Daphnia pulex: one gene and its partners. The protein of the gene in region 3 interacts with the protein of the main gene of each other region in a biochemical or structural test. Links are inferred from orthologs where the notes say so. Each region holds a gene or a part of one and is shown on either strand. Other genes may lie near its edges. The genes, in order: ubiquitin-conjugating enzyme E2 S-like, E3 ubiquitin-protein ligase RAD18-like, polyubiquitin, protein UBASH3A homolog, E3 ubiquitin-protein ligase AMFR-like, 26S proteasome non-ATPase regulatory subunit 14 and peroxiredoxin-4-like.

Evidence for each region.
Region 1: of the proteins of polyubiquitin (region 3) and ubiquitin-conjugating enzyme E2 S-like, one has a biochemical effect on the other in vitro, tested with the Homo sapiens proteins (10 studies listed by BioGRID, with this or other methods). The link is inferred for Daphnia pulex from reciprocal best matches to the Homo sapiens genes UBC and UBE2S.
Region 2: the proteins of polyubiquitin (region 3) and E3 ubiquitin-protein ligase RAD18-like form a complex in vitro, tested with the Homo sapiens proteins (7 studies listed by BioGRID, with this or other methods). The link is inferred for Daphnia pulex from reciprocal best matches to the Homo sapiens genes UBC and RAD18.
Region 4: the proteins of polyubiquitin (region 3) and protein UBASH3A homolog form a complex in vitro, tested with the Homo sapiens proteins (6 studies listed by BioGRID, with this or other methods). The link is inferred for Daphnia pulex from reciprocal best matches to the Homo sapiens genes UBC and UBASH3B.
Region 5: the proteins of polyubiquitin (region 3) and E3 ubiquitin-protein ligase AMFR-like form a complex in vitro, tested with the Homo sapiens proteins (10 studies listed by BioGRID, with this or other methods). The link is inferred for Daphnia pulex from reciprocal best matches to the Homo sapiens genes UBC and AMFR.
Region 6: the proteins of polyubiquitin (region 3) and 26S proteasome non-ATPase regulatory subunit 14 form a complex in vitro, tested with the Homo sapiens proteins (4 studies listed by BioGRID). The link is inferred for Daphnia pulex from reciprocal best matches to the Homo sapiens genes UBC and PSMD14.
Region 7: the proteins of polyubiquitin (region 3) and peroxiredoxin-4-like form a complex in vitro, tested with the Homo sapiens proteins (2 studies listed by BioGRID). The link is inferred for Daphnia pulex from reciprocal best matches to the Homo sapiens genes UBC and PRDX4.

Annotation. Positions count from the first base shown.
Region 1 is NC_060023.1:8,632,004-8,635,070, reverse strand, and holds ubiquitin-conjugating enzyme E2 S-like, read left to right. Parts: upstream 1-1,194; 5' UTR 1,195-1,356; coding exon 1,357-1,365; intron 1,366-1,443; coding exon 1,444-1,588; intron 1,589-1,658; coding exon 1,659-1,849; intron 1,850-1,907; coding exon 1,908-2,051; intron 2,052-2,112; coding exon 2,113-2,259; 3' UTR 2,260-2,567; downstream 2,568-3,067. Other genes in the region: ADP-ribosylation factor-like protein 6-interacting protein 1, read right to left, coding at 1-69, 137-221, 298-401, 464-597, 660-793, 859-888; uncharacterized protein LOC124197881, read left to right, coding at 2,865-2,936, 3,041-3,067. UniProt on the Homo sapiens protein: Accepts ubiquitin from the E1 complex and catalyzes its covalent attachment to other proteins. Catalyzes 'Lys-11'-linked polyubiquitination.
Region 2 is NC_060025.1:2,016,716-2,020,460, forward strand, and holds E3 ubiquitin-protein ligase RAD18-like, read right to left. Parts: upstream 2,436-3,745; coding exon 2,288-2,435; intron 2,214-2,287; coding exon 736-2,213; 3' UTR 501-735; downstream 1-500. Other genes in the region: alcohol dehydrogenase class-3-like, read right to left, coding at 2,708-2,732, 2,802-2,940, 3,005-3,140, 3,198-3,328, 3,396-3,444. UniProt on the Homo sapiens protein: E3 ubiquitin-protein ligase involved in postreplication repair of UV-damaged DNA. Postreplication repair functions in gap-filling of a daughter strand on replication of damaged DNA.
Region 3 is NC_060024.1:13,920,028-13,924,170, forward strand, and holds the start of polyubiquitin, read left to right. Parts: upstream 1-1,343; 5' UTR 1,344-1,651; intron 1,652-2,075; 5' UTR 2,076-2,081; coding exon 2,082-2,412; intron 2,413-2,593; coding exon 2,594-2,821; intron 2,822-2,984; coding exon 2,985-3,212; intron 3,213-3,366; coding exon 3,367-3,594; intron 3,595-3,762; coding exon 3,763-3,990; intron 3,991-4,143.
Region 4 is NC_060024.1:13,149,973-13,154,235, reverse strand, and holds the start of protein UBASH3A homolog, read right to left. Parts: upstream 2,801-4,263; 5' UTR 2,668-2,800; intron 2,608-2,667; 5' UTR 2,457-2,607; coding exon 2,350-2,456; intron 2,287-2,349; coding exon 2,046-2,286; intron 1,983-2,045; coding exon 1,790-1,982; intron 1,714-1,789; coding exon 1,402-1,713; intron 1,339-1,401; coding exon 1,269-1,338; intron 1,202-1,268; coding exon 837-1,201; intron 769-836; coding exon 295-768; intron 215-294; coding exon 1-214. Other genes in the region: RNA-binding protein 1-like, read left to right, coding at 3,106-3,317, 3,379-3,603, 3,680-3,731. UniProt on the Homo sapiens protein: Interferes with CBL-mediated down-regulation and degradation of receptor-type tyrosine kinases. Promotes accumulation of activated target receptors, such as T-cell receptors and EGFR, on the cell surface.
Region 5 is NC_060017.1:3,098,094-3,102,048, forward strand, and holds E3 ubiquitin-protein ligase AMFR-like, read right to left. Parts: upstream 2,801-3,955; 5' UTR 2,528-2,800; coding exon 2,258-2,527; intron 2,183-2,257; coding exon 1,925-2,182; intron 1,849-1,924; coding exon 1,602-1,848; intron 1,531-1,601; coding exon 1,457-1,530; intron 1,388-1,456; coding exon 1,244-1,387; intron 1,150-1,243; coding exon 1,026-1,149; intron 971-1,025; coding exon 753-970; intron 686-752; coding exon 347-685; 3' UTR 319-346; downstream 1-318. UniProt on the Homo sapiens protein: E3 ubiquitin-protein ligase that mediates the polyubiquitination of lysine and cysteine residues on target proteins, such as CD3D, CYP3A4, CFTR, INSIG1, SOAT2/ACAT2 and APOB for proteasomal degradation.
Region 6 is NC_060022.1:5,168,487-5,171,681, forward strand, and holds 26S proteasome non-ATPase regulatory subunit 14, read left to right. Parts: upstream 1-1,201; 5' UTR 1,202-1,372; coding exon 1,373-1,465; intron 1,466-1,544; coding exon 1,545-1,694; intron 1,695-1,753; coding exon 1,754-1,970; intron 1,971-2,030; coding exon 2,031-2,143; intron 2,144-2,207; coding exon 2,208-2,408; intron 2,409-2,472; coding exon 2,473-2,634; 3' UTR 2,635-2,695; downstream 2,696-3,195. Other genes in the region: ATPase inhibitor mai-2, mitochondrial-like, read right to left, coding at 499-639, 702-810, 886-944.
Region 7 is NC_060020.1:8,201,549-8,205,356, reverse strand, and holds peroxiredoxin-4-like, read left to right. Parts: upstream 1-1,431; 5' UTR 1,432-1,722; intron 1,723-1,817; 5' UTR 1,818-1,855; coding exon 1,856-2,030; intron 2,031-2,235; coding exon 2,236-2,270; intron 2,271-2,340; coding exon 2,341-2,434; intron 2,435-2,514; coding exon 2,515-2,582; intron 2,583-2,640; coding exon 2,641-2,767; intron 2,768-2,834; coding exon 2,835-2,926; intron 2,927-3,000; coding exon 3,001-3,108; intron 3,109-3,167; coding exon 3,168-3,227; 3' UTR 3,228-3,308; downstream 3,309-3,808. Other genes in the region: protein angel homolog 2-like, read left to right, coding at 1-22; probable RNA-binding protein EIF1AD, read right to left, coding at 3,578-3,764. UniProt on the Homo sapiens protein: Thiol-specific peroxidase that catalyzes the reduction of hydrogen peroxide and organic hydroperoxides to water and alcohols, respectively.

The DNA of each region.
Region 1 (3,067 bases), on a different chromosome or scaffold from region 3:
GGAATATCGACAGAAATTTTGATAGTACTTCGTTGTGTTTGACGCCAGGATACAATGAGATGAGTGTGACTATAACAATCAAAATGCTGATTACAATTCAGAATACTAAATAGTTTTAATTAATAATATTACATACCAAGAATAAAACAAATGAGCCAATTGTTGACTGTATAACCAATCCAAGCTGAAAGACTGCAGAATGAAAAGAGTGACAAGAAATACTGGAAGATAAAACATAACAACAGGTTACATTTAAAAATATCAAAATCTATGCACTGTATCAATTAAAGAAATCACCATTTTAGGATTTGTCCTTTTGAGATCAATAAAATATGTCATCTGGTTGTAAATTTTATCTTGAGTTTTCACCAGAGTTTCACAGATTATCTCAAACTTTTTCTCTATGGAGAAATGATCAAGTTACCTTTTGATCAAGTAAGAAAATGAGATGAAGAATGTATACCATTCAATGCTGTCCATTGATGAGGTTGTGATATACAGCTACATATTCTAGGAACACTGTAATCAATCAAACTGAGTATCAGAAAAAATAGAGATACGGAGGTGATGATTGGAGGATTCCAATACCAGTACATCCTAATAAACGAACAGAAACTTTATCATGTCACAGGAAAAATTTTTAAAAATATAGAACCTACAGAAATACAGTGCTAATGGTTCCAACAATAGGTGCAGGGTACCAGGATTCAGTCCATATGAGGACAGAATACAAGGCAACGAGAAAAACACGCCAGGTTTCAATACGCCGTTTTAGAGATTTTATCCTCTTTTCCTGAAATTGGGCAGAAAAACATAAACAATGGGTTTAGTGTGCTGCAAACAAACGAAAATAGTCACCTGGTCGGATACAAGAAGGATATCAGGCATTTTGAAACCTATTATATTAGACAGTTTTAAGAAACCAAGAGCCCGAGACGGCACGTATAAAAAAATAGAATAAATATTATGGCATGTGAGAAAGGTTCGTGACTCACACGCAACGTTGACAAGGACCTTGAAAATAGAATGTGAAACTCGCGAGTTGCAAATTACTTGAAATTCAACGCAGATTTTTCACGAATAAAAACCAATTCATGTCGAAAGAAAATGTTTTTATTTTAAAATCATAAAAAAAATAAATAAATTTTTCGAATACGTTTTTTTTAAATTGGTACCCATTTCGGCAACGGTGTGCATCTTGTATTCTTGTTGTCTCTGAACTCTGAGGCCAAAATTTCCTGATATTGTCCAAATTCTAACCGTTCTAACGGTCGTATCAAAATTCTTTTCAAATTTACTCTTCCGTTTTCTGTTTCGTGAACATATCACTTTTCTGCTCTTTTGTTTTTAACCCTCATGGCTTCAGTAAGTTTTTAGAAAATTGAGTTACAGCTTGCAATTTTAGACTTTAAAGTTGCGCCCATTTTGAACCGTTTAATCTAGGTTTCGTTTGAAAACTTGGCACCTCAAGTTAGTCGCCAAATTTGCAAGGAACTTCAACAGCTTATTAGTGATCCACCTGAAGGCATCAAAGTTATTCTCAATGAAGAAGACATATCTGATATTCAAGCCATTATTGATGGACCTGGTAAGAGTAATTCTCATTTAAAAATAAAGCCTAAAATTAAATCATTTTAAATCATTTCCCCCACAATCAGCTGGTACCCCATATGCTAGTGGACATTTTAGAGTAAAATTAGTGCTAGGAAAAGATTTCCCCTCTGGTCCTCCGAAAGGTTTCTTTTTAACCAAAATATTTCATCCCAATGTCTCGCAACAAGGCGAAATTTGTGTCAACACCTTGAAGAAAGATTGGAAGCCTGATCTGGGTATCAAACATATATTTCTGGTGCGACTATTTAAGAGTTCAATTCTATTTCACAACTAACCTAAAATCTCTTTTTTAGACTATCAAATGTTTGCTAATTGTCCCCAATGCAGAGTCGGCTTTGAATGAAGAGGCTGGCAAGCTCTTATTAGAGCATTATGAAGATTACTTTCAAAGAGCAAAAATGATGACTGAAATTCATGCCAAAGTTAGTCAAAATCAGGTAAACAAAACCAAATTTACCAACTTACTGTATTTATTTCATTTTCATTCCTTGATTGAAGTCGAACGCGGATGCCCACTTGAATGAAGACAACAACCCAACGGAAGGCCCTACAGCATCGAAAAAAGCTGCTACTGATCGCACAGTTTTGGCGGATAAGAAAAAGCCAGTGGCCAAGGACAAAAAGAGAACATTGAAGAGATTATGAGCGTCACTGTACATAAATGCCTTTTTCTCTGTTTCTTCTTGCTTCACATCTAGCAACGGTTTGAAAATATCCGTAGTCTTTCTCAGCGATAAACTCCATAATTCTCCATCTCCCATACCATTTGAATTGTTTCGTTCCCGCACTTCTATGCAGTGCGCGTTATTTAACGAGCAAATCTATCCATGTCTAGTTTTTACACTCGCGGAAGGGAGGAGAGTGTTGATTCAGTTTCCTTTTCTTTCTCTTAATTTTATGCTGATTTTTCAGTCGTGTGAGGTCGAAGGAAATATAAAAAAATTTGCTGATAACCCATTCAACTCATATTTTTACCTTTAGTAAGTTATCACAGGTTACATTTAATTATTGATTTGCTGTGAACGTTTAAGATTTTCTTGGAATCGCACTTTAATGGTTCGTTTCCCTGAATCTATTATAAATCCCTTAACCCCAGGTTACTCACTCGGAAGGTAATTTGGCGAGTGCAATTATCTTGGGAGTAACGACCTTGCACCACCTTTAGCAGGACCACACCAACCTCACTCACAACCTCATTTGACCTGCACCTTCGGTTGTGTACAGTTTGAACCAGTCTCTACGTTCCCACTATGCGACTTTTAATCATTTTAATTTTGTTCGTGACATGGACTGTTTGCGAAGACGACACCGAGTTAATCGAGGTAACATTTGAAACGGCCGATTGCTGTTTGGTTCGTAGAAGGTCATTGATCCAAGTTCAAAAACCTCCACTCAAATTGTGACTTTCCCATTTAACATTTTTCAGAAAAATTCAACAGCAGTTCGCGTCAAG
Region 2 (3,745 bases), on a different chromosome or scaffold from region 3:
ATTTCTTCTACACGATTAGTATTCATGACAGGCATACAATCCGATTATCTCTGACGACCCACAAAAAGCCCTCACCTGTTCACCTCTGGCGATACGTGAGGTTTCTCTTTTTATCCTTCTAGAGATTATTCTGCCTTGCGCAAAACTGCCCTGACATCCAATGTTTGACAGAAATCAAAAGATCAATCATCGATAGATTGAGTGCATCAGTAGATTTGGATAGCCGAGGAAGTACGTCATCAGACTTTGCACTTCTACTTGAGTCAGAACTAGATTGACAGACTGGGTCAATATCCGGTCCTTGATCTACTACTCTTTTCCTACTTAAAAATCACGTACCTATTCCTAAGCAGGCATCCTGCTTGTGTAATCATAGATCAATCAATTCATAATTAATGGAAAACGTGATTCATCTCAATTAGGGAATTAGATGCATGGATCATTCCGTGACTGAAGGACTTTCACTTTAATAAGATACTCAGTTAAATCTGGAATGAATACTCAGGACATTTCTGGGGTTTTATTTATCATTCAACAATTAGGATGCCAGTTTCTTTTACATTTTCAATTTTTCGTCGCTTTCATTTGAAATTTGTAAGCAATTTATTCTCGATCGGAAACATAAAATTTAGAACCAAAATGACTGGCATGCAAGAATAGCAGGGCAAACCATTTTTGCACAAACAAAAAGAAATTATTAGAAAAAATATTTACACAATAATGCCACAACTATCTTCAAAATCTTCTTCTTAATGACAGTTTGCGGTCGGACATGTTCAGCGAAGGAGACTTTGACCTTTTCTTTGACATTTTCAGTACGGTGGGCAACATAGCGCTCAAGCTACTGCTAGATTCTTCTTCAAATAAAAATTCGGTAGGTGACTCAACTGGACTGTAGGTCGTTGGCGAAGTGGAATTGCTGCTACTTGAATCACTTGTCGACAAAGTGATAGTTTGAGCACCAACGGACAAAGAATTGCTATCCTTAGAACTCCCAGATTCCAATGGATCGGGAATGGAATCATCGGAAGTTGATTGTCTAGAGACGTCACTATCAGACGTACCAGCAGCTGAAACCGGACGTGAACTAATCGAAGGTGGTTCATCACTTTCACTACTGTCCGATAAACAGATCATTTCGTAAACCTTTGGTGGGACATAGATCTCCGTCACTTCTTCTTCGCTTTCATTTTCTACTTTCGGAGGCTCGTTCTTGATTTTGAAAGCTGGAGGTTCCTCAGGCAACGGTAGAGTAATAGGTGGTGGCGGCAAAGGTGGACGCTGCCGAATTTCGTTGATTAAACGATCGTAACTCTCTTTGTTACTGCGTAAATACTGAAGATTTTCCTCCTCGATTTTTTCTATATCATTTGTTTTCACTTTAGCGGAAGCAAGACGTAGTTCAGTAGCCAATCGATGGTTTTCGGCTTCTTCTCGTACATGTATTTCTATCAGTTCTTCGACCGGTCTGGGCTCCAAAGCATCGCACTCAGAATTGTAGAGAATGGTAAACTTCTTGTGTCGATTGATCAGAGTAGCTTTGTCACCAACATTGCTGAGTCCCAATGTTCTAAGCCTTTTCTTCAGCTCTTGTTCCTTCATTAGATGATATATCAGCTTTGGCATGGGCTTCCTCTTGGCAGGTTTGTTTGAGTTCAAACATGAATCCAGATGAATGTTGATAATAGTCTCCCTTATCAAGTTATGACACACAGGACAAAGAACTTCTTTCACATCATTAGAAGATTGACTTGGAGGTTTCTGATGAGCACTAGGTCTTGATGCTCTTACAGGTTGGCTGCATGATGCTATTGGAGGTTGATGAGTATCTACGACAGGAACACTTGATGATGCCAAAAAGACAGAAATGTAGCTGTTCAGACTTTTTCCATCAGCTGCTGTGAAAGAAGATGATGAAATATTCTCTTTATGAACATTCTGACCAGGCAATATTTCACTTTCTGCTTGTTTGTGAATTATGGCTGAGGAATGAGAAGATAAACTGTCTCTTGAAGTTTCTGTTGAAAAACCTTCTTGTTGTTGATCTCTGGTGTTCACTAGAGTATTCAAAACATAATTCTTTACTGGCTGAAAGCATTTGATGATTTCTTCAAGGCAACGGTTTGGGCGCAGCAACCCATCAGAAATGTCAACAAAACATATTGGACAGCTGTTCTTGAGACTTATGTTTTTCCTGATGCATAACGAACAAACTGTAAATTTTAAAAAAAAGCACACATGAAGCCTTAGTATTAATATGTAAATATAAAACTAATAAAGGTATTACAATTGTGTGAGCAAGCAGTTGATATCACAGGATTTTTCATATAGTTGTAGCATATTGGACAGTGTAGACGGTCATCTATATTTTTTAACTGAGGCAACTCTCTCGGCCAAGTAACTGGAATGTCATCTGAGTTAAACAAATCTCCCATTTCAATGCAGTATTGTACTATTGTTTCACAATTTTACATGATCAAAGCCACAGCCCGCGCCATCACAAAATCTTTTCAAGTCTCATGTTAACAGCAACGTTGCCATTTTTATTTCCGGTACAACTTTTTTTGTTTTGAATTTGAAATCAAAATATGTTTTTATAATTTATAATTTCAGATGATAGGATTCTCCACGGTATGCAATTATATTTCGTATCAATGGAATAAGATGAAAATTAGATTTTAATACTGTGTTGCGACGTTCAATTGTTTCAGAAAGTGACCATGCTTCTCAAACTGAAAATAAAAAACATATGCAGGTATATATTTTTTTCTGATTAAAAAAATTTTTTAAGCATTTGTTACCATTCTCCTTTTTCAATTAGTTCCACAGCTTCATTTATGTTTTCAATTGGCATGGTGTGGCTTATAAATTCATCCACCATCAATTCCTTGGCTAAATATTCATCCACTAACTTTGGGATTTGGTCACGGCTCTTCCACCCTGACATATGATGGCCTTATTGTATGATCCATGGTATTAAAATTTTTATTTAAATATTTTAAACCTCCAAAATAGGTCCCTTTAATGGTTCTTCCATAGATTAGTTGTATAGGATTGTACGAGACTTCTGCTGTCAAATCAGCTACTCCCACAATAGTTAATACACTCAAACCTTCTTTACAGGCATTCATTGCTGCTTTCTGAAATGCAAAAAAATCTATTAAAGTCATTAGCTAACAAATTTTAATTTGTACTACCATGCAACTGGGGATGCCACAACACTCAAAAGCGTAGTCTAATCCTCCTGTTGTCATATCCATAATTACTTCCTCTATAGGTATTTTGTAGTCATCTGGGTTGATGAAATCAGTGATTCCAAATTTCTTGCCTGTAATAATCATTATTCAATCCAAGTTTTAAAAATACTTACCAGCATTAGATAAATGAATTCAAACCAATATTTTCTTTAGATGGATTAATATCAATGACCAATGACCACGACATGTAAAGCGAGTCGTACCGTCATTCATTAATCCAGCAAGCTATATATAAATAGAAATGTAAATTTCGTTTCGTTTTATCAACTGTAGGATTAGTGGATTACTTGGAATGTGCCGTTAACATTACAAATGTTGGTCTCGCTAGACTTGCAAAATTCACAATTGTAACACTGAGCTGTATAAACCGGGATTACGTGATCGCCTAATTGTAATCGATGGTTCTTTTAATTTTATTATATCGTTTCCATTTAAATAGATGAAATAACCTGGTTCAACGGAAGTAACGTTAGGTCCAACGCTTTCCA
Region 3 (4,143 bases):
CGTGCCAGTTGCGTTACCGCTGGAACGACCTCCTTATGCTGCGACTGGATCCTAATCGTCCACTAAAGGAGAAAGACGTCCAGAAACTGGAACAGAAAATGAAACGAATGCAGAGAGATTTGCACTACGACCTGATTGCCTTCACGCAAACTCAAATTTTGTACACCATTAAACGACTTTTAGCAGCTGATTTGAAGGTTATTTACCGGGGCCATGCTCTAGAATCTGAAACTCCAAATGAAGAAATGCCAAATGAGATTAACCCGTTCTGGCCAGAATTCCAAGCAGTCGCCCATCCAAGGAAAGGTGGGCTGCAAATGGCCGACTTTCTTGTTTACGGATGGTATGAAATTTTATCATTGTAAATAACAACTCAAAAATTATTATAAGAAAATTTCCGATTTTCTAGTTTGGAAGAACCCGATTTCACCCAAGATTATCTCAGCACACCATGGGCTTGTCCTATATGCGAACTCAATTTCTACCTGACGGGTCTAGGGCGATTGAGGCACCAGGTCCAGTGCCAGAAGACAAAAGAGTTGATGGAAGGAGGTATGAAATGTTTTTTAACAATCTGTTTGCTGCCCTCTATCCAGTTTACAATTTTCCGTTTTGTTGGGTTATTATTTAGGTCAGGGTGAACCAGCAGAAGCTTCCGAGTCGAAAACGGGTTATTTCTGTCCTGATTGTCGCACCACTGTGGAGCTGACCGGCATTGATTTACTGCGTCATCAAAGGAAGCACCAACAGGAAAAGTCCAACAAACCTGAGGCAGATTAGTCCTATACACGCAGAAAGAAGCCTTGCCCAAAGTCCTTCAAATTAAACACGTGGGACACGTCGACACCAGCACTCATTTCCGCTGCGCATTTTTGCGAACATCATCACATTATAATCCCCTTAAACTCAAGGTTGAATAAAGACCTATGTAAAACGACGCTGAATTGGAATTTATTTGCAATGAATTATAGTTTTATTCAGAGTCATGGAAGCGTAAATACATAACGGTTTTTATCTTGTTCGGTCTAATTAAGAAATTTCTCCTTATTAGTTGTTTTTTTCTTCGTCACTTTCTATTTGTATACAAGTTTTGCCAGCAACCTCATACGTGTTTCTACTTTCAAAATTCTGCCACGTGTAAATATTATCTCGTAAAGGTTCGCAACCTACTTGAAATGAAAATATTGGACCCAAAAAGTTTGGTGGAAAAGAAATAGAAAGTATGAGAAATAAAGGAATAAAGGATATCCGCGATTATTTCAAGGCTGAGGCAAATCCGTACAAAATTAACGTCACTTAGATAAAAATGTGGAAACTTCCAGAATTAGCTCAAATTTCATAATCACGGAATATTCTACGTCACATATTGTTTCTCTGTCGTTGTAGTCACGTTTGAGAAGGTGACGTTTCATCGTTACGTTATCTAACGACAAACGAAAATACGAAATAATCCTTCTAGAAAAAGCTAGGGAAAGCCGCAGGGGACTTGGTACGAACCTCCCCAGGCGCTTCTGTCGCGTCTATATAAGTCGACGTCAGCCATTTTAAAAATCAATTCGCGTCCAGCACCCAACTCGAGCAGAACGTCTTAGCAGTTGCTTCGTCGAACACATATTTTAATTCAACTTTATCATCTGATTGATCAAATTTAGTAAGTTAAACCTTTGATTTCTTTGTCCTGAATAGATATCCATTGTTCTTGTGTGTAACTAGTTAAATTAACTAAGATTTTTTGGGGGAAACGAAAAATTTACGCCGTGGCAAGTTGTCCCTTTGTTCGATTGTGTCCGCCATTTTCTTTCCTCGTTTCATCTCTTTTCTCTTAGTAACAACTGGTTGGAAAATATTTCATGGTGTAAGATGAGACAGTTATTGAAATTTACTAGAAACATTTTGTATTACATTAGTTTTGATTGCAACTTCTTTAAAAATAATTGGCTAGTAATAAAATTTATGCATGGGCGTAACTTTCCTTTGTTCGACGTGACGTAATGATGACGATTGGTTATGATGAAACTTCTGATAAACTGGTTTTGTATATGATACTAAAGTAAGTTTAATTTTCGTTTCTTCAGAAAAAGATGCAGATCTTTGTCAAGACATTGACTGGCAAGACCATCACCCTTGAGGTTGAGCCTTCTGATACTATCGAGAATGTTAAGGCCAAGATTCAAGATAAGGAGGGCATTCCACCAGATCAGCAGCGTTTGATCTTTGCTGGCAAGCAGCTGGAAGATGGTCGTACCCTGTCTGATTATAACATCCAGAAGGAATCTACCCTGCACTTGGTCCTCCGTCTGAGAGGAGGAATGCAAATCTTTGTCAAAACACTAACTGGAAAGACCATTACTCTGGAAGTTGAACCTTCTGATACCATCGAGAATGTCAAAGCAAAGATCCAGGATAAAGAAGGTAACTATCAAACCTTTGCCTACTGTTACTAAATTAACCTGATGAGTATTAGGATTACAATGACATTTAGAGTGTCTAAATTTCTTCATGATTACAATTATATCGCAATAACCTGAAGTATTCAATACATTTTAATTTCCATAGTTGTCTGATTGAAATTACAAAATGTTTCTTTGTTCAGGCATCCCACCCGATCAGCAACGTCTCATCTTCGCCGGCAAACAATTGGAGGATGGTCGTACTCTGTCCGACTACAACATTCAGAAGGAGTCAACATTACATTTGGTGTTACGTTTACGCGGAGGCATGCAGATTTTCGTTAAAACTCTTACTGGAAAGACCATCACTCTCGAAGTTGAACCTTCTGACACTATCGAGAACGTTAAAGCCAAGATTCAAGACAAAGAAGGTAATGGAAAAAAATAAGAAGAGAAATTTATTGTAGTTGCTGATGACACTCTTAGGACACCTAAATATGGACCCTGATTACTAAATAATCTGAAATTTAAATGTTAAATGATTTTGGTAGCATTAATCTACTAGATAATATTAACGATTTGAATTGTCTACAGGTATTCCCCCCGATCAGCAACGTCTAATTTTCGCTGGAAAGCAGCTCGAAGATGGCCGTACTTTGTCTGATTACAACATCCAAAAGGAGTCGACTCTTCACTTGGTTCTTCGTCTCCGTGGTGGTATGCAGATTTTCGTCAAGACTTTGACTGGCAAGACCATCACTCTTGAAGTTGAGCCTTCTGACACAATTGAAAATGTCAAGGCTAAAATTCAAGACAAAGAAGGTACGTTAGTTTTTGAAAGTTCGGTTGTTCTGCAATGATGATAATTTTATATACGCTAATATCAACAACATGATTACAATTAAATCTGATGTGGTATCGTGGTAAATGGCAGAATGTTTAGGTAGAAATTTCAATGTTATTGCTTTTTCTGTAGGTATTCCCCCAGACCAGCAACGTCTGATCTTCGCTGGTAAGCAGTTGGAAGATGGACGTACCTTGTCAGATTACAACATCCAGAAGGAGTCTACCCTTCACTTGGTCTTGCGTTTGAGAGGAGGTATGCAGATTTTCGTGAAGACTCTTACAGGAAAGACCATCACCCTTGAAGTGGAGCCATCGGATACAATTGAGAACGTTAAGGCCAAAATTCAAGACAAAGAAGGTAATAATTTGGGGCAGTCTTTATTTTTTATTCCATCGATTATGATGACACTTTATTAGCTCTTTAATATGTACCCTGATTACCTATTTTCCAACGTGTACTGATATAAATTCTAGAACTTAAACAACTTTCTATGGCGTAAAAAATCTAATCCATTCTTCTACTCAGGTATCCCACCCGATCAGCAGCGTCTCATCTTTGCCGGTAAACAGCTGGAAGATGGTCGTACCTTGTCAGATTACAACATCCAGAAGGAGTCTACCCTTCACTTGGTCTTGCGTTTGAGAGGAGGTATGCAGATCTTCGTCAAGACTCTCACTGGAAAGACCATCACCCTTGAAGTTGAACCTTCCGACACGATTGAGAACGTCAAGGCTAAAATCCAAGACAAAGAAGGTAACATTATTGGAGGGATTTTCCTTGTTTGCTTACTATAATGATGACAATTTATTAGCTCTACAATATGTACCCTGATTACATTTTTTCCAACGTGTACTGATGCACATCATGGAGTATTCGGCAAAAACTCGGCAACGCAAATATATAATC
Region 4 (4,263 bases), about 770 kb from region 3:
CAACGGGGCTTACTACCAATTTCCTCGGCTGAATCATCGGCCGGCTCTTCTGGACACTGTTGCTGCTGCTGCTGCTGGACGGCGGCCAAACTGCAGTAAGGGATCCGGTGGACGATTCTCGATAACTCCTGAGCCGATCGCGGTAATCCACCCACCAGCTGTCTGGAACAGGCATCCAGCGTCGAGGCATGTCCGATCAGGAGAACGTCTCCACCTTTTTCGATTAAAAGATAATTAAGTCTCAAATGAGAGGGATGGATCAAGACTCTTTTGAAAATCCAATTTGAATGTTACCGATGTGCTCAGTGCAGCGGAGGGCGCACTGGGTGACGTAATGCGAGCGCATGTAATACTGTTCAGCTGACTCACGCCGGTCGCAAAGCTCGCTAAAGTCGATAAAGTACTGGTGCTGCTCGCGGAGACGGAAGCCGGCGTCCAGCATCTCCGAAGGTGTGAGAAACTGCGGCATCGAGTCCTGATACCAGGCCAGCCACTCGAACAATCCCGGCTCCAAACTAATCGGGATCGACTGCTCAATCTCCAGGCCTTTCAGAATGTTCTGGCACGTTTGCAGCGAGCGAAGCGAAGGAGAGCAGTAGACGTGCTGGATCTTGTTGGATTCGCCAGCAGAGCGTAAAGCTTGGCCTAAAAGTCCAGCTTGCGTTTCTCCCAGGATAGTCAACGGGCAATCCTTGAAGAAAGACTCGGGCGATCCCTGACGTTTGGGAACGCTCAGAGGCATGTTCAGATCCTTACGGACGTATTTACCTGTAATGCAAGATGAACGAATAATTTTAAAATTCAAATTTTCTATTAATTTGAATAATCCGACATACCTGATTCATCGAAGCAGTAAGGAATCCAGGTGCCAAATGTAAAATCGACCCTTTCTCCGTGGCGGACTATAAACAACCGTCGAGGACCCTGTTTGAAGGCTAGAGGCCGTTCAACCACAGGAGACAATCCGGCCATATCTAAATCGGAATTGACGTAGTTTTCCGTACATTTTGAAAGCTCTGTTGGTCGAACGGCCACCCCTCTTGGTGGACTAATTTCCTGGCGAACGGTGGGTGAACTTTTGCCGCTGTTAGAACCCAATTCCGGCGACACTTGACTCAACAATCTCCGGGCTTGATCGCTTGATGCTGAAATTCCGTCGATTTCGTCCAAGTCGTCAGCGGATGGATTCAACTCCACACTCCTGTTAACAGCAGTTTGATGTTAACAAGCAAATTCGATTATGAACTATCTAATTATATGGGCGGTACTTGTGCAGGGTCCAGGCGTCCGATTCGGCAGTTTTCTCGACATAATTCTTTGGCAGAAAACCCGAACAACCTGAAGAAGCCGCAGTTTCTAAATCGAATTCAAGAGAATAATAGTTTTTAAGAACTTATTTACCAGTAAGCCAGGAGATGCCTTCGATCCACCCGTCGATGGAATTATTACAGGCTTCAGGATCGACGTAAACAAAATCGCCCAGGAGCAATTCCAGTTCGTCCGTTTCACGGGGAACGTGCGGGAAGACGACCTTGTAGACTTTCTTCCCTGAAAGGCGGATATCTCTCGAGTAAAGTCGTAGTTGCCAATGAGAATAGCCATTGTTGGGATTCAGAGCTCTAACAAGATATTCCAGTGTGCTGAATTGACCAGATGGAAAATTGTATGCCAACGTCAGGTGAAGGGCTTGTGTGTGGGCTTCCGCTGCAACGTCTGTAAAACACGCAATAAGAATCAAAGCTAATGAAACGTTCTGGAGCCATAAAATAATAATCTCGTAAATGTATACTGATTTGCGCTAGTTCCCTAGCAAACCGAGAAGCCATGACTTTGATGACTTCAGCAGAGTCTTGATTGAGGAAGAAGCCCATAAAGTTTTGTGAAATGTAGGTCTCTAGTCTTAATTCAGGAATGGGGTGGCTCTCATGCTCTGTAATCCTCTCCAGGAGGCTCACAATGCTGGGGACACTGCTGTCAGGTACCTAACATCAATCACTCAGTTACAATGATGCCAGTTTCAGTAGATATATATATTGTTGATAAACCTTGAAAGGGGGAACTAGAGTGACATGGGGTAGGAACTCATGAGCACCGTTTCTGCCACACTCTCGAACTGATCTGGCCCAAAATTCCTGCAATTGACTTTGCAGATAGCCAGCCGGACACAGGTAAAGAAGATACTCTCTAGGCTGTTGGTCATCTAAGGTGGGGTCGTTCACATGGGCCAGCAACCAGTCTGATGCTAACTGAACATTTCTGTATCCAGTTGCAGCGAGGGCTTTTTCCCTGTAAAAGCAACAAACAGAATTACATGTTGTGCCGAGTATTATGAGCTACAGGGTGACTTACGCTCTGTGTTTTGGAAAACCCATCTGCAGGAGAACCTGCAGAGGTGAGATCAACAGCTTTGTCAATTTTGTCGGAGTTGCATTCTTTCTGGGTGGTAGTTCAGCCATGTCTCTCAAGACGAATACTTTTAGTTTGCACGGTGACGCATATGAGCAGCGATGAGATAAGAATCCCTAATAATACCGAAATTCGATTTTAATATCCCGATAATGTCTCTAAATATAGTGGAATGGTGTTGAAGATAACATGGCCAGTGGACTGTAATGAAGAAGAGCAATTAAATTAAGATCGAATAAAAATTTGTAAACATCTTCAAACCTTTTCATGACTCGAACGAATTTTCATTAACAAAATGAAATGACACTTATCTTTTCTGCATTTTTGTTATTTTTTTTTACCAAATAAAATGCGTTCGTGATTGCCAAATCTCTTTCGTTCAAATTTGCGGCGTATGTTTTTATTGAAAACTGGCAACAAGAAAAAGACAAATGCGAATTGAATATGTGGTTGTCTACATCGAGTAATTGGAAACAACCGGCTAGACGCGTCTCCCCTCCTCTTGGACTCAGGCCGCGTTTCTTTGCTTTTGACAGTCAAACTAAATATTGTTTCGCCCATTTATACTCGTAATATACCAGGTAATACAGTTTATTGATACACAAATTTTGATATCGTGACTAAGCTCCGTTTTATTCAACTCAAACTCAACGGTTACAACTGCTCGTTCTATCGTCGTTTGCCATCAAAGCACCTGCCATGTCGTCCCGCCATCAAGACTGGGATCCGCGTTGTAAAGTCTATGTTGGCAATCTAGGCTCTAACGCGGCCAGAGGCGAGATCGAAGAAGCCTTCAGCAAGTACGGCACACTGAGAAATGTCTGGGTAGCAAGAAATCCCCCTGGCTTTGCCTTTGTTGAATTTGAAGACCCGAGAGATGCAGAGGATGCAGTTCGTGCCCTTGATGGAGTGTGAGTTGCAGTTGATTATTGACAACAAACAATCTGTTATTTATGCTATTGTGTTTCACAGGCGTTTATGTGGTGCCAGAGTGAAGGTGGAAATGTCTACAGGCAAGAGGAGAAGTAATGGCTTTGGTGGAGACCGTGGTGGACGTGGTGGAGACCGCAGAGGAGGTGGTGGGCCTCCAGCAAGGAGAGGTGGTGGATACTCACCCAGACGATCACGTTCACGCAGTCGTGATCGTTTCCGCGACAGGAAAGCCTCTCGATCAGTCTCTCGCGACCGAGTTCGCAGGTAAGATCCTTAACTACTGACATTTTCTTCCTGTTGCAAAAGCCATCAAAACAAACTTTTCTTTTTGTTATTGCAGGGACTCACGCAGTCGTTCACGTTCCCCCAGCTACAGCAAGTATGCCGATTAATTGATTCCGGTCTATCACATACACACACACACACTTACCTGTTGTGCAGATAATAATTTTCAAAGCAGAAGCTCCTCCACTTTTTCTCTTTTCTCCTTGTCGCTGTGAAAAAAAACCGTCATTCACCTCCTCCCCTACTATGATTCCCCTCCTATTTGGCATCCATTTTTTTGTGTGTGACCAGCAGTGGCGTCAGCTGCAATCCTGGGCTTTTCATCATTTTTTTTAAATTGCAAAACAAACGGACTTGTATCACATGGGCGCATTTTGTTGTGTGAAAGAGTTGCGGGCTTAAAAATCGTGCTCATTCCACATGCGCAATACACACTTGAGGATTTCCCCCCTTCTATAAATCATCATCAACCTCACATCGCCTTTCCATTTCAACACGCATCCGAAAAATCTTGAATTTGATGTGAATGGAGACGAACAAAATCGAAGATGTCGGGCGCAACCCACTATTGATTTTCGTCGGGACTCTACTACCGACTGATAAACCGCCCAGTGAATTCAACATCCATCACATCTTTTG
Region 5 (3,955 bases), on a different chromosome or scaffold from region 3:
ATGTCACACATTTCCGATTTCGTCCTCTACATGTTTGGTAATCAAATGTTACTATTGATTGCGCATTCACTTCGTCGGTAGTGAATCAGTAAAATCACGTTTGTAGGCCCTGTTTGACAGTGAACGTCTGTGTGATGGGACTAGCTTGCGGCATAGAGAGGGTTTTCTTCCACGCCCAGTCGAGCGAAGCGGTATTTCGTAATTATTAAAAAGGCACTATCTTTCTACTCATAATTTACCTTGCCAATATACAAACAGGTTTTTTGAATTATGAGATGCACTAATGCATAATTTACGCACTTTAGGATCAATAACAAATTAGAATCACACGTGTATAGCAAGAAAATCAACTTTCAATGATAGTGGAATTGTTTTCGAGTGCTTGTCTCTGAAGAAAGCGATTTCGAGCTTCCGCGATTAATTCATGCTTACGACATTGAAGAATGTGTTGTCTTTCTTGCGGATCATCAACAAAGAGCTTCTCTGGTTCCTGGGAAACATCAAATTGGTTTTCTTGCCTGGCGAATGTTGGCAACGTAGATAGACTAGGCTCTTGTTGAAAGCTGGGAAGTGTGGGCAGAAGACGACCCTCTAATATATTCTCAACTGTTAAGTCTACTGAGCGAGTTTGCCGTAGATCTTCAACGATAACAGAAAACGAATAATCGGGAAACAATTGAAGTACCTACAACGATAAACATTTAAATTGTTGAACAAGAATTAGTAGAATTTTATGATAGATTTCGTCACACCTGATCAGCTAAAGCTTCCAATTGAGAGTTTTCTGCAGCTGCTACTACCGGAGTATCAGTGTTTTGTTGAAACAGTCGACTCCAGCCCGTCCACGATATAAAACTTGCAGTTTCCCGGGGACGTGAAGACGAAGCAGTTTCTTTCGATCCATCTTCTAAAAGTTGGCGTCGACACGTAGGGCACGTAGGATCCTGTTCCAACCAGTGCAACAGACAACCTATACAAGTATAGATAGATGAAGGATTGCCTCATTAATTGTTATGAATCAATACCATGATGAAAATGATGACCACACGGCAACCGTCTGGCTACAGCTGCTGCTTCCCAGCAAATGGCACATTTGTTATCCTCCCATTCAGATTCGAGTTCGAAATGGAGTGTTTCCAAGGGACAGCACTATTATAACAGAATAAATTACTAAATGATTAAAACTAGAGACTTGGCAGAAGAAGGGGAGATTAAGATATTTTAGATCGACTCGAGTACAAACCAATTCCACCAATTTCAGCAACCGTTTGTAGTTCCCGTGTCGCCGGAGACGTCCACACAGCTGTTCGTAGAGCACTCGCAGTTGCATGAAAATGACCAAAGATGCCATAGAGAGCAGCATATTCGCTCGCAGAAGCATGTGAATCTAAACGAAAAGAGACAAAAAAGGGGTTACCGAAATTCAGTCGCATTGCAGAAAGCAATTTCGTCTCACATGATGTGCCAAATCCACAACGAGGCATGAAATCTCCACCGCCAATTCCACGTAGTACGACGAAGGACTCCACCCTATGATCCAACAATCGTCAGATGTTTGAGCACATCGAGAGTCTCTGTTGCGAATGCGCAACTCAAGTAACCTTGAGAGATCTGATGGATGGGCGGATGACAAGACTGCAGGTAGAGGATGTATCTAAAGATAACGTGGGTGGTACGTAAAGCCAAGAGAAGACATTCCGGGGCGACCAAGGCAAATGTAATCCATCCAGCGCGTTGTCCAACGGCGAGGCAAATCAAAAATAATAATCCCGATGCCACCAGAATCGATCCCAGCAGGGTAAGCAAGCGGATGTGTCGATTTCGAGGGGTACATGGAGTCATAGATAACTATAATTTCGCCAAACATAAGATAAATTACAATACCTGTTTGAGCTTTTAAAAAAGAAAGATAAAATCCAATTACATATTCAAATCTGTCTTGGCAAAGTTGAGCATGAATGTGTAGAAAGCCAATAACAGAAAACCAGGACCCCCATAATATAACACCTTCCATACTTTGAACATTTTTAATGCCAAATATAAAAATAAATTTGTAAAACACAAAATTCCAAAACTTGTCTTTGATGTGCTGTAGTTCAGAAACTCTTAGTTCCCCAAACACCTGCTTCTGCAGCCAATTTCCAAATAATACAAGGAGGCAGTAAGCCATGTTCACAACAATCTGTAAAGGATAGAAGATAAAAAAGGATTAAAGTGTTGGATATTGACTAATAATATAGGATGGCCATGTTCTAACCCAAATGCAGAGACTGTCATGGATAGAAAATGACACAATATCTTGAGCTCTGGAGCTGAGCCAGTAACGAGACAGGATGTTTGAAATAAATGCTTGCAAGGAGTTGGGAATCTCTTGGCTGCTATTCGTTTTAACAAATTGCATCCTCCATTCAGGGTTTTGTGTTTTTTCTGCAGCGTAGTGAAGAGACAAACCCAAAAGAGAAACACTGACTACCGCGTAAGCTTCCAAACTCGGGAGAGGTAGTCTCTCAAGTAGTAAGACAGGCATGTTGTTGTTGTTGACACAGAAAAATTGGGTTCACAAGACGACAAAACTACTAACAAATCTGGGGTGAAAATTGCATTTGAAAACATCAGCAGAAATAACTAGGATTAGCTAGCACAGCAATTCAAGGCAATTTCATCTTGATAACACTGCGTTATCTAACGACCATTTCGATAACAAGTGCCTTGTCAAATGATTCAATAATCCGAAAATGTGTCAAAACTCTGATAAGGCGGGTAAGGCTAAACAGCATCTAGTACACGTAAACACTGCAAACGGAATGAAAAAAAATTACTGACGTTTTGGGCGTCAACCTCAAAAAGTTCCAGCAAACTATTTTCTAGCAAGGTCAAAAATATGCAAAAATTACAAGGCAGATTTCGTCTCGCTATCCCCAGGGGAAAAAATGTATTCAATGTCAACTTTGCATACATGTTCTCAAATGTAGATGTAGACTGAATTGCGCTCTCGGAGACTCGGACAGTCAAGCTAATAAATATTCAATTATTCATTACGCATGTGATGCTGGGACTGGGCTGAATCTGTTTTTAGATCGACGAATACTGGTTTGTTATTAAAAATGAAAAAGATACGTCACAAGTCTGAGTAGATTTTATTGTTTTTACTCAGAAACAACTTCAATAAGATCCCTTAATAATTTTCTGAGATATATTCGCTAAATATTCCGCAACATTCTCCCGCACCAAAAATGCTCAGTTTTATGGCACTGCCCTAAGACACGCATAAGAGTACTCAATTACGCTAATCTAAATTGCACTCCCGAATCAACCTTGAAAAGAAAATGTATTCACTATTATTATTTCTGCTTTGATGGCAACGCGTGATGGAAGACAGAAAAAAGGGAGAAACATCAGAAATAAAACGTTGTCTAGCTGCATGTCTAGCCGATTTTATCGTCTTGTTGGGCGGTTATGAAAAAAGTAGCGTGTCATTTCGTACCAGATGGGGACCGGAAGAAGGTGTCCTTGCACACACACGGCACTGTTATAACGCCTGATTTGCGTCCTCAACATTCGTTACAATAGGGCGTCAGCTCTGCAAAGTAACTGAACCGTTAAATTCTGTAAATGTTCACATTCGAGACAATTTGAATCCACTACATACCAAAGTCTTATCGCGTACCTCCTGATGGTCACGACAGGTCAAGGTTTCCATTTGAAATTTGCGCCCTGTTTCGCTTTTATCCGATGTAGTGGTAATCCTTCAATATAAATAAATGAAGCAACAATAACTTTGCGAAAACAAGGGATGGCTAAGTAATTGAAGTGACTTTTGAAGTTCATTTCATTTTCTCTTTCTCTGCACTTTAAAGAGAATCTTTTTTTTTTTTTCATTTTGGCTCTATTCCAATTTCTTATACTGTAGCGTTTTACAACACGCATTTCACAAGCAGTTAACATTTATGTTTAT
Region 6 (3,195 bases), on a different chromosome or scaffold from region 3:
ACTCGGCTGTGAAGTGTCAAGTTAAGTGTGTTGGTCAGGTGAGAGATGCAATACAAAAAGACAAAATTAAGTGAATACCTACATCAAAAACTGTCGTGCGTGCCATCTTGAATACATTTCCCGAAAGACAATACAAGAGCTGCTCCCAAAATTATTCCTTTAGAAATGCAAAAAATTAATGGCCTCGAATAATTCGCAGTCGAACGATGTTCCATTGAATTTATACTTTTTTTGCCACAGCATGTAACAAAGGTTCTTTTATATGTTGAAATTCATTTGAAGTCTGTTTTGTGTATGGCATTATGTCCCCTAAGTAAATTAACCTGTTGAGTAATATTTTAGGGCATAGGCTGTATACTTCCTTCTACAGTATCAACATCTTTCAGGGAAATAAATAGCTCAACCATAAACTAGAATTGTATTTTAGGATATACATTAAGGCTACACATCCTTCCAGAATTTTGATATCCTTGCACCACACTCAGGCATATCAAACAATTAGGCTTTCTTTTTCTGCTCCAACTCTGTGATTCTCTTTTGATGAATGTCAATTGCATCCTGATGTTCCTTCATGCGTTGCTGATGAAATGTTATCTCCTCATCAAGGTGAGTTTTAAGTGTTTTCAGCTGTTCAGTTTGCTACCATCCATATAAAAAATCAATACAAGCTATACATAAATTGTAAAAAAAGATATTTCTACCATTTTACGGAAGTATCGTTCCTCATCAGCGGCTTCCTTCTTTCCGAAAGTTCCACCAGCTTCTCGAATGGCACCAGCTCCACCATCTTGGCTGTAATAAGCTAAACGACTAGAAAAGGCAAAACAAATGACAATTAATTCACGTCACAAAGGTAGAATGCTCATTAAAATATTAACTACTCACCTCATAATGGGTATATTACGAGAAAGCTTGAGCGCTGCAACAGATCGAGTCAAAGCCATTTTGTTTTGATGAGTAGACTCGGTGATTCACAAGTCAAACAACTGATTTACAAAGAGAATTCGTAACGACGTCAGACAAACGATCGTTTGGATTTCTACAAACGTCGCAATCGACCAAATAAAATTTTTATAATAATTAAAAGATACATCTGAAGAATAAAATTTCTTACAATAATGTATTCTCTTTAATGGAAGATCTATATTGATAATTAAAAACTGGGTTTGATAGAAACTGATAATGAAACATTTTTCATTCATTGTTGGGCAATGTTGCTAACCAGCATAAACCCGTCGAAAAACGTTGCGCGGAGCGTGAATTGACTATTCTGTGACGGAAGGATTCATTGTTTTTACCGGCCGTTCTACTACAAAGCAGTTTCCTTTTTCTTCATTCGAAAAAAAGTTTGAACTAATAATTTAAAGAGATAATGGATCGTCTATTACGGCTCGGTGGCCCGATGTCTGGCCTCGGACAATCTGCTCCGCCAACTGATGCACCGGTTGTCGACACAGCCGAACAGGTATGACAGATTCGTTTGCATTTACAATAAATTACTTACTATACCTATTATAATTGTTTTCACATTTTTGTTGTAACAGGTTTATATTTCTTCTTTGGCACTGTTGAAAATGCTTAAACATGGACGAGCTGGAGTTCCAATGGAAGTCATGGGACTTATGCTTGGAGAATTTGTTGACGATTACACAGTCAGAGTGATTGATGTATTTGCTATGCCTCAGTCAGGAACAGTATGAAACCATTATCATTTATCAATTTTGCTCACAGTAACTTAACAAACTTTATGTAGGGTGTCAGTGTTGAAGCTGTGGATCCAGTTTTTCAAGCTAAAATGTTGGACATGCTCAGGCAAACTGGCCGCCCTGAAATGGTTGTTGGCTGGTACCATTCCCATCCTGGATTTGGTTGTTGGTTATCTGGTGTAGATATCAACACACAGCAGAGCTTTGAGGCCTTGTCTGAACGTGCTGTCGCTGTTGTTGTTGACCCTATTCAAAGTGTCAAAGGTATTACAGATTTATTCATTTTTTTTTTTGCAGTTGTAATAAATAGTTTTTTATTTACAGGCAAAGTTGTCATTGATGCATTCAGGTTGATAAATCCAAACATGATGGTATTGGGACAAGAACCTCGCCAGACAACATCAAATCTTGGACATTTACAGAAACCATCAATTCAGGTGTGTTTGTTAGATTTTACAAAACATTAAATTCTGCAAGACTTTTTAATGGTTTTTTCTCCAGGCCTTGATTCATGGACTTAATCGCCACTACTATTCAATCAGCATCAACTATCGAAAGAATGAACTCGAACAAAAAATGTTGTGGAACTTGCACAAGAAATCATGGACCGAGGGACTATCGCTAGCCGAATACGAGCAACACTGCAAAAGCAACGAGCAGAGTGTTCGCAGCATGCTCGAATTAGCCAAAACTTATAACAAGGTAAATTCTGAAACATACCGGCCTTTGTTCGTAATCAGATGTTAAAATGATGTGTGTTGGACAGGCTTTGGAGGAAGAAGAAAAGATGACACCCGAACAACTCGCAGTAAAGAACGTTGGCCGTCAAGATCCTAAGCGTCATCTAGAGGAGGAAGTGGATGTACTGATGACTTCTAATATTGTCCAGTGTCTGGGAGCTATGCTTTCTACTGTGGCTTTCCGATGATTTACTTCAGCTGACGCACCTCTCATATCTATCCGATGAATACAATAATTCTCAAAAATCATTATTTTACATGCGAGTAGACCAACCAACCACGTACAGGATAGAGAAAATGGGTCGATGTCATAAGTGGTAACCCCCCGCATTCAAACCTTTCAAAAAAAGAATCGTCCAAACACGTCCTACTTGGTGTTTTCATTCGGATTCGCTTGCAATACAGCTTCAAAAGCTGCCATCGAAAAAGCCCCCCGTTTTCTGATCCCTTTTTAATGCACTCAACTTGGAACAGCGCAAGAAGGGTAAAAGGGACTAGTAGATCTTTGTGATACAGATTATATCGATCACCCGGAATGAAAGGAGCAAAATAAAACCTAGACCTGAAATAACTCTACGCGGATTTAGGAAGGAAAAGCAGAATGTGTGGTGAATGAAATGGCGTGGTTGCTCAAGATTAACAACGCGCCACCCACTGAGCATTTTAAAATAAACTCGAGTTGTTTGTGCTACGTGTTTAATGGCCTGCTTCTCGTGCTGTTCTGGGCTATTAGTGCATAGGGCATGAGC
Region 7 (3,808 bases), on a different chromosome or scaffold from region 3:
CTGGAAGTATAAAGGACTTTAAATAAGAGTTACCAAAATGTCATTTGTATATATTATCCTGGAAATTTAATGTCAGAACACGACGGGTTGAAAACTCTTTGAAACTTTAGTCACTTCTCACTGAAAGTAATATCCTGATAGTCTGTTAATATACAGTACATTACATGTATTATGGTCTGTAAAGAAATTCTGAAATAACAAAATTCTTTTCCATATATAACTGCACTCTGTAGTTTGTTTATGTCTTTTTTTTCATAAAAATTTGTTTGAGCATCTTTTGTGGTTAAATCTATCAAATAGACACTTGGATCATTTATTTGTCGGAAATTTGTTTCTAAAGGATTAGTACAACTTAAAAAAAAAATAACTTTACATTATGATTTATTAAAATATAAACGAAGAAGAAAAAAAAACTTTTTCGAAGTTATTTGTGCTTTTACGAATTGCTTAAAGATGGAATATATTAAGTAACATATTGCTACTGGAAGGCGATTTTAACGACGATTTTTTGCTGAGCTTGGCAGCTTGATAAACATTGCAACCCGGAGTGGCAGAAATTTGAATTTGAAAACAAGTTATCAGTAGGGTGCAGCTCACGCCAATGCCAACTCGAAAGATAAACCATTGATCAACAGTAAACAGAATCAAGAATCAATTTGAAATATAATCTAGAACCGGCGGATGTTTTTTTTTACGTTCGAGACACTTCGCAAAAATAATCTGCATTTTTCAACCAATGAACAAAATAAAAATCGTCGAACCTTCTCGGGTCAATAATGAGTTGACGTAGGCTACCGTACGTCTGCACGAGGATGTCGACTATTCAACTATTAGGTCCAATAGGGCTCTTCGGGATCTGTTTTATTTAGCCGATTTATCTGGCAACGCAGCATGGTTCGAGACTTTTTTGAGGGAAGAACGGGGAGAAGAGGGAGAATGGGACGAATGGGGGAGAAGAGGAAACGTGGGTCCCCTTTTTTTTCGTACGCCCTCCTCCCTCCCACTCGTCCCATTCTCCCTCTTCTCCCCGTTCTTCCCTCAAAAAAGTCTCGAACCATGCTGCGTTGCCAGATAAATCGGCTAAATAAAACAGATCCCGAAGAGCCCCATACTAAATATAATCAAGGTAAGTTCTGAGTTTAGGGCTTTCGGGAGAGACACTTAATTCACGTTTGCTTACTTGAAGATTGTATTAGGCTAGTTCGCTACAATAGTGGTGTAATTTATGACACACAAAGGAAATATTTGTCTAATAACTTGTCCGAAATATCTTGCAGCTACTACAATAAATCCAAATCTAGTAATAAGAATCAAAATTTAAATAACTTAATGTATTTAGAAATAATTCTCAACTGATATTTTTCTCAAAAATTTTCGTGGGTAAAAATATATGCTTTATACTCGGGTAAACAGATGGCACTGTAACAGTGTTCACAAAATTGGGTTGAACGCCGCGGCCCGAAATATTTACTGCGTCATTCATGTTTGGTGTACACAGAACACAGTTTTGAAAGTGGCAGCGGTGGCAGGCAGCAGGGCAGAGTTGATTCTGCTACATTGTTGGTTTGCTACTGCCCTACTGTGGGCACTGGAATCTGGATATCAGTGCATGGGTGCATCAGTCAGACACTTGACAGTCTCTTTGAACACAGGTCATTGATTCGTATCAATATCACGTCAGTGAGTGATCACAGAAGGGATCAAACTGTATACTGCGAAAATGTAATTATTTAACTACATTATCAAACAATAAAATCAATGATTTTTATTGTTGTATTGATTGTCCATATGTATTTAATGGGTATTTTTTATGCTAGAGTGTTTTAAAACAGGTGGCTGTAGCGATAGCAAAAGAATGACGACGGACTCGAGAACGAAGTCGTACTATTACGTGGCACGATTAGCAATCTTCTTGTTCATAGCAAGTGCGGTAAATGGAGATGTCTGTCAGACTTATGCTGGGGGTGCTGTCTATCCAAGAGAAACAGGAAAAAGCAGTGGCCATTCGTTGCAATGGACAAAAGCCATGAGTATACTTTTATTACATTTGTGAATAATAAAATATATGATATTTAAAATCAGCATTATTTCTAAAATACAGTTTTTAATTGATCGTTCAGAATTTTTCTACATATTTATTGACATTTAGGAAAATTAATTGGTTATCAAACATTGAATTAAAAATATATGAACTGCAAACAATTTTAATGATCATTATTTCCTTTCTTATTTTAGTTTCAAAGCAAGCTCCTCTATGGGAGGGTACAGCGGTAAATACCTTTTGTATTTTCTTTGTATGCATTCTTTCATTATTTATTTTTTTTTTAATTTCCTGTTTAGGTGGTTAATGGCTCATTTAAGGACCTTAAATTGACTGATTACAAAGGCAAATACTTGGTCTTCTTCTTCTATCCCCTGGACTTTACTTTTGTCTGTAAGCTGTTTTATTATTCTTTCTAATCTTTCTGTAAAACAACAAACAAAAAACATTATTTTATATGAATGTCTTTGCAGGTCCCACAGAAATTTTGGCATTCAATGATAGAATTCAAGAATTTCGCGCGCTTAACACTGAACTTGTGGTAAAAAGTACATTTCATTTAAAAATTGAACTCAGCAGCTAATCCAGTTATTTCATAGGCTTGTTCAGTGGACTCACATTTCACTCACTTGGCTTGGGTTAACACTCCTCGAAAGGAAGGTGGACTCGGTCCTCTAAACATTCCGTTGCTCTCAGATTTATCACACAAGATTTCCACTGACTATGGTAGCTTTTTTCACAGTACTTAACCTTATAAATTTGCACCTACTTTATAATTTTTATATATTAATAGGTGTCTATTTGGAAGATGTTGGACATACACTTAGAGGTTTATTCATTATCGATGATAAGCAAGTTTTGAGGCAAATCACAATGAATGACTTGGTAATTTTAATGTGTAGAAATAGGATTTTCCAGTTTAGGATTTGTAATAATAAGCAATATGTGTTTCTACTCAGCCTGTAGGTAGGTCTGTTGATGAAACCTTGAGGCTTGTTCAAGCCTTTCAATATACCGATAATCACGGAGAAGTTTGTCCTGCTGGATGGAAACCCGGAGCCGACACGGTAAGGGATGACATAAGTAAAACGCAAAATAATTAATGCTATGAAATTTTCCTCATCAGATTATTCCCCATCCGATCGAGAAAAAACTATACTTCGAGAAACAAAAGGATGAAATTTGAATTATTAATTCACAAAAAAGATTCAATTTTGAATTGATTGTTGGTTATTGGGTTCAAGTTAAATAAATTGGATCAACAATATTTTAAATTGTTTGAAATTGAGTTTTAAATAATACAAATTGAATCTACTGACGCCAGGATAGACTGATGAGAGTAATAAAGGAAACCTGTTCAAAAAGTCTAGTTATTTTTCTAACTCTTACTCCTCCTCACACATCATTAGAATTGTATTTTTTGTCCAGAAACACATGGCCAAATAATTCCATATAACAAGTCATGAGTGCCCAGTGGTACAGAGTTTTGTAGCAAGTTATAACAAGGGAAAGCATATTAAAACATTTAGTTTATTTTTAATCGTCATCTTTGTTGGCACCAGAATCAGATACTTCATTTTCACTACTGTCTGTTGATTCATATACACACTGAGGTCTGTTTGTATTTACAAACAAATCATCACTTCCTGAAGAACTATCATCATCATCAGAACTAATGTCTGCACAAACTTCTGTTGAAGCTAATGGGACAAATTCCTTGGGCCTAAAGTTACATTTGAGATTTAAATGCTTCAGCAAATAAACATG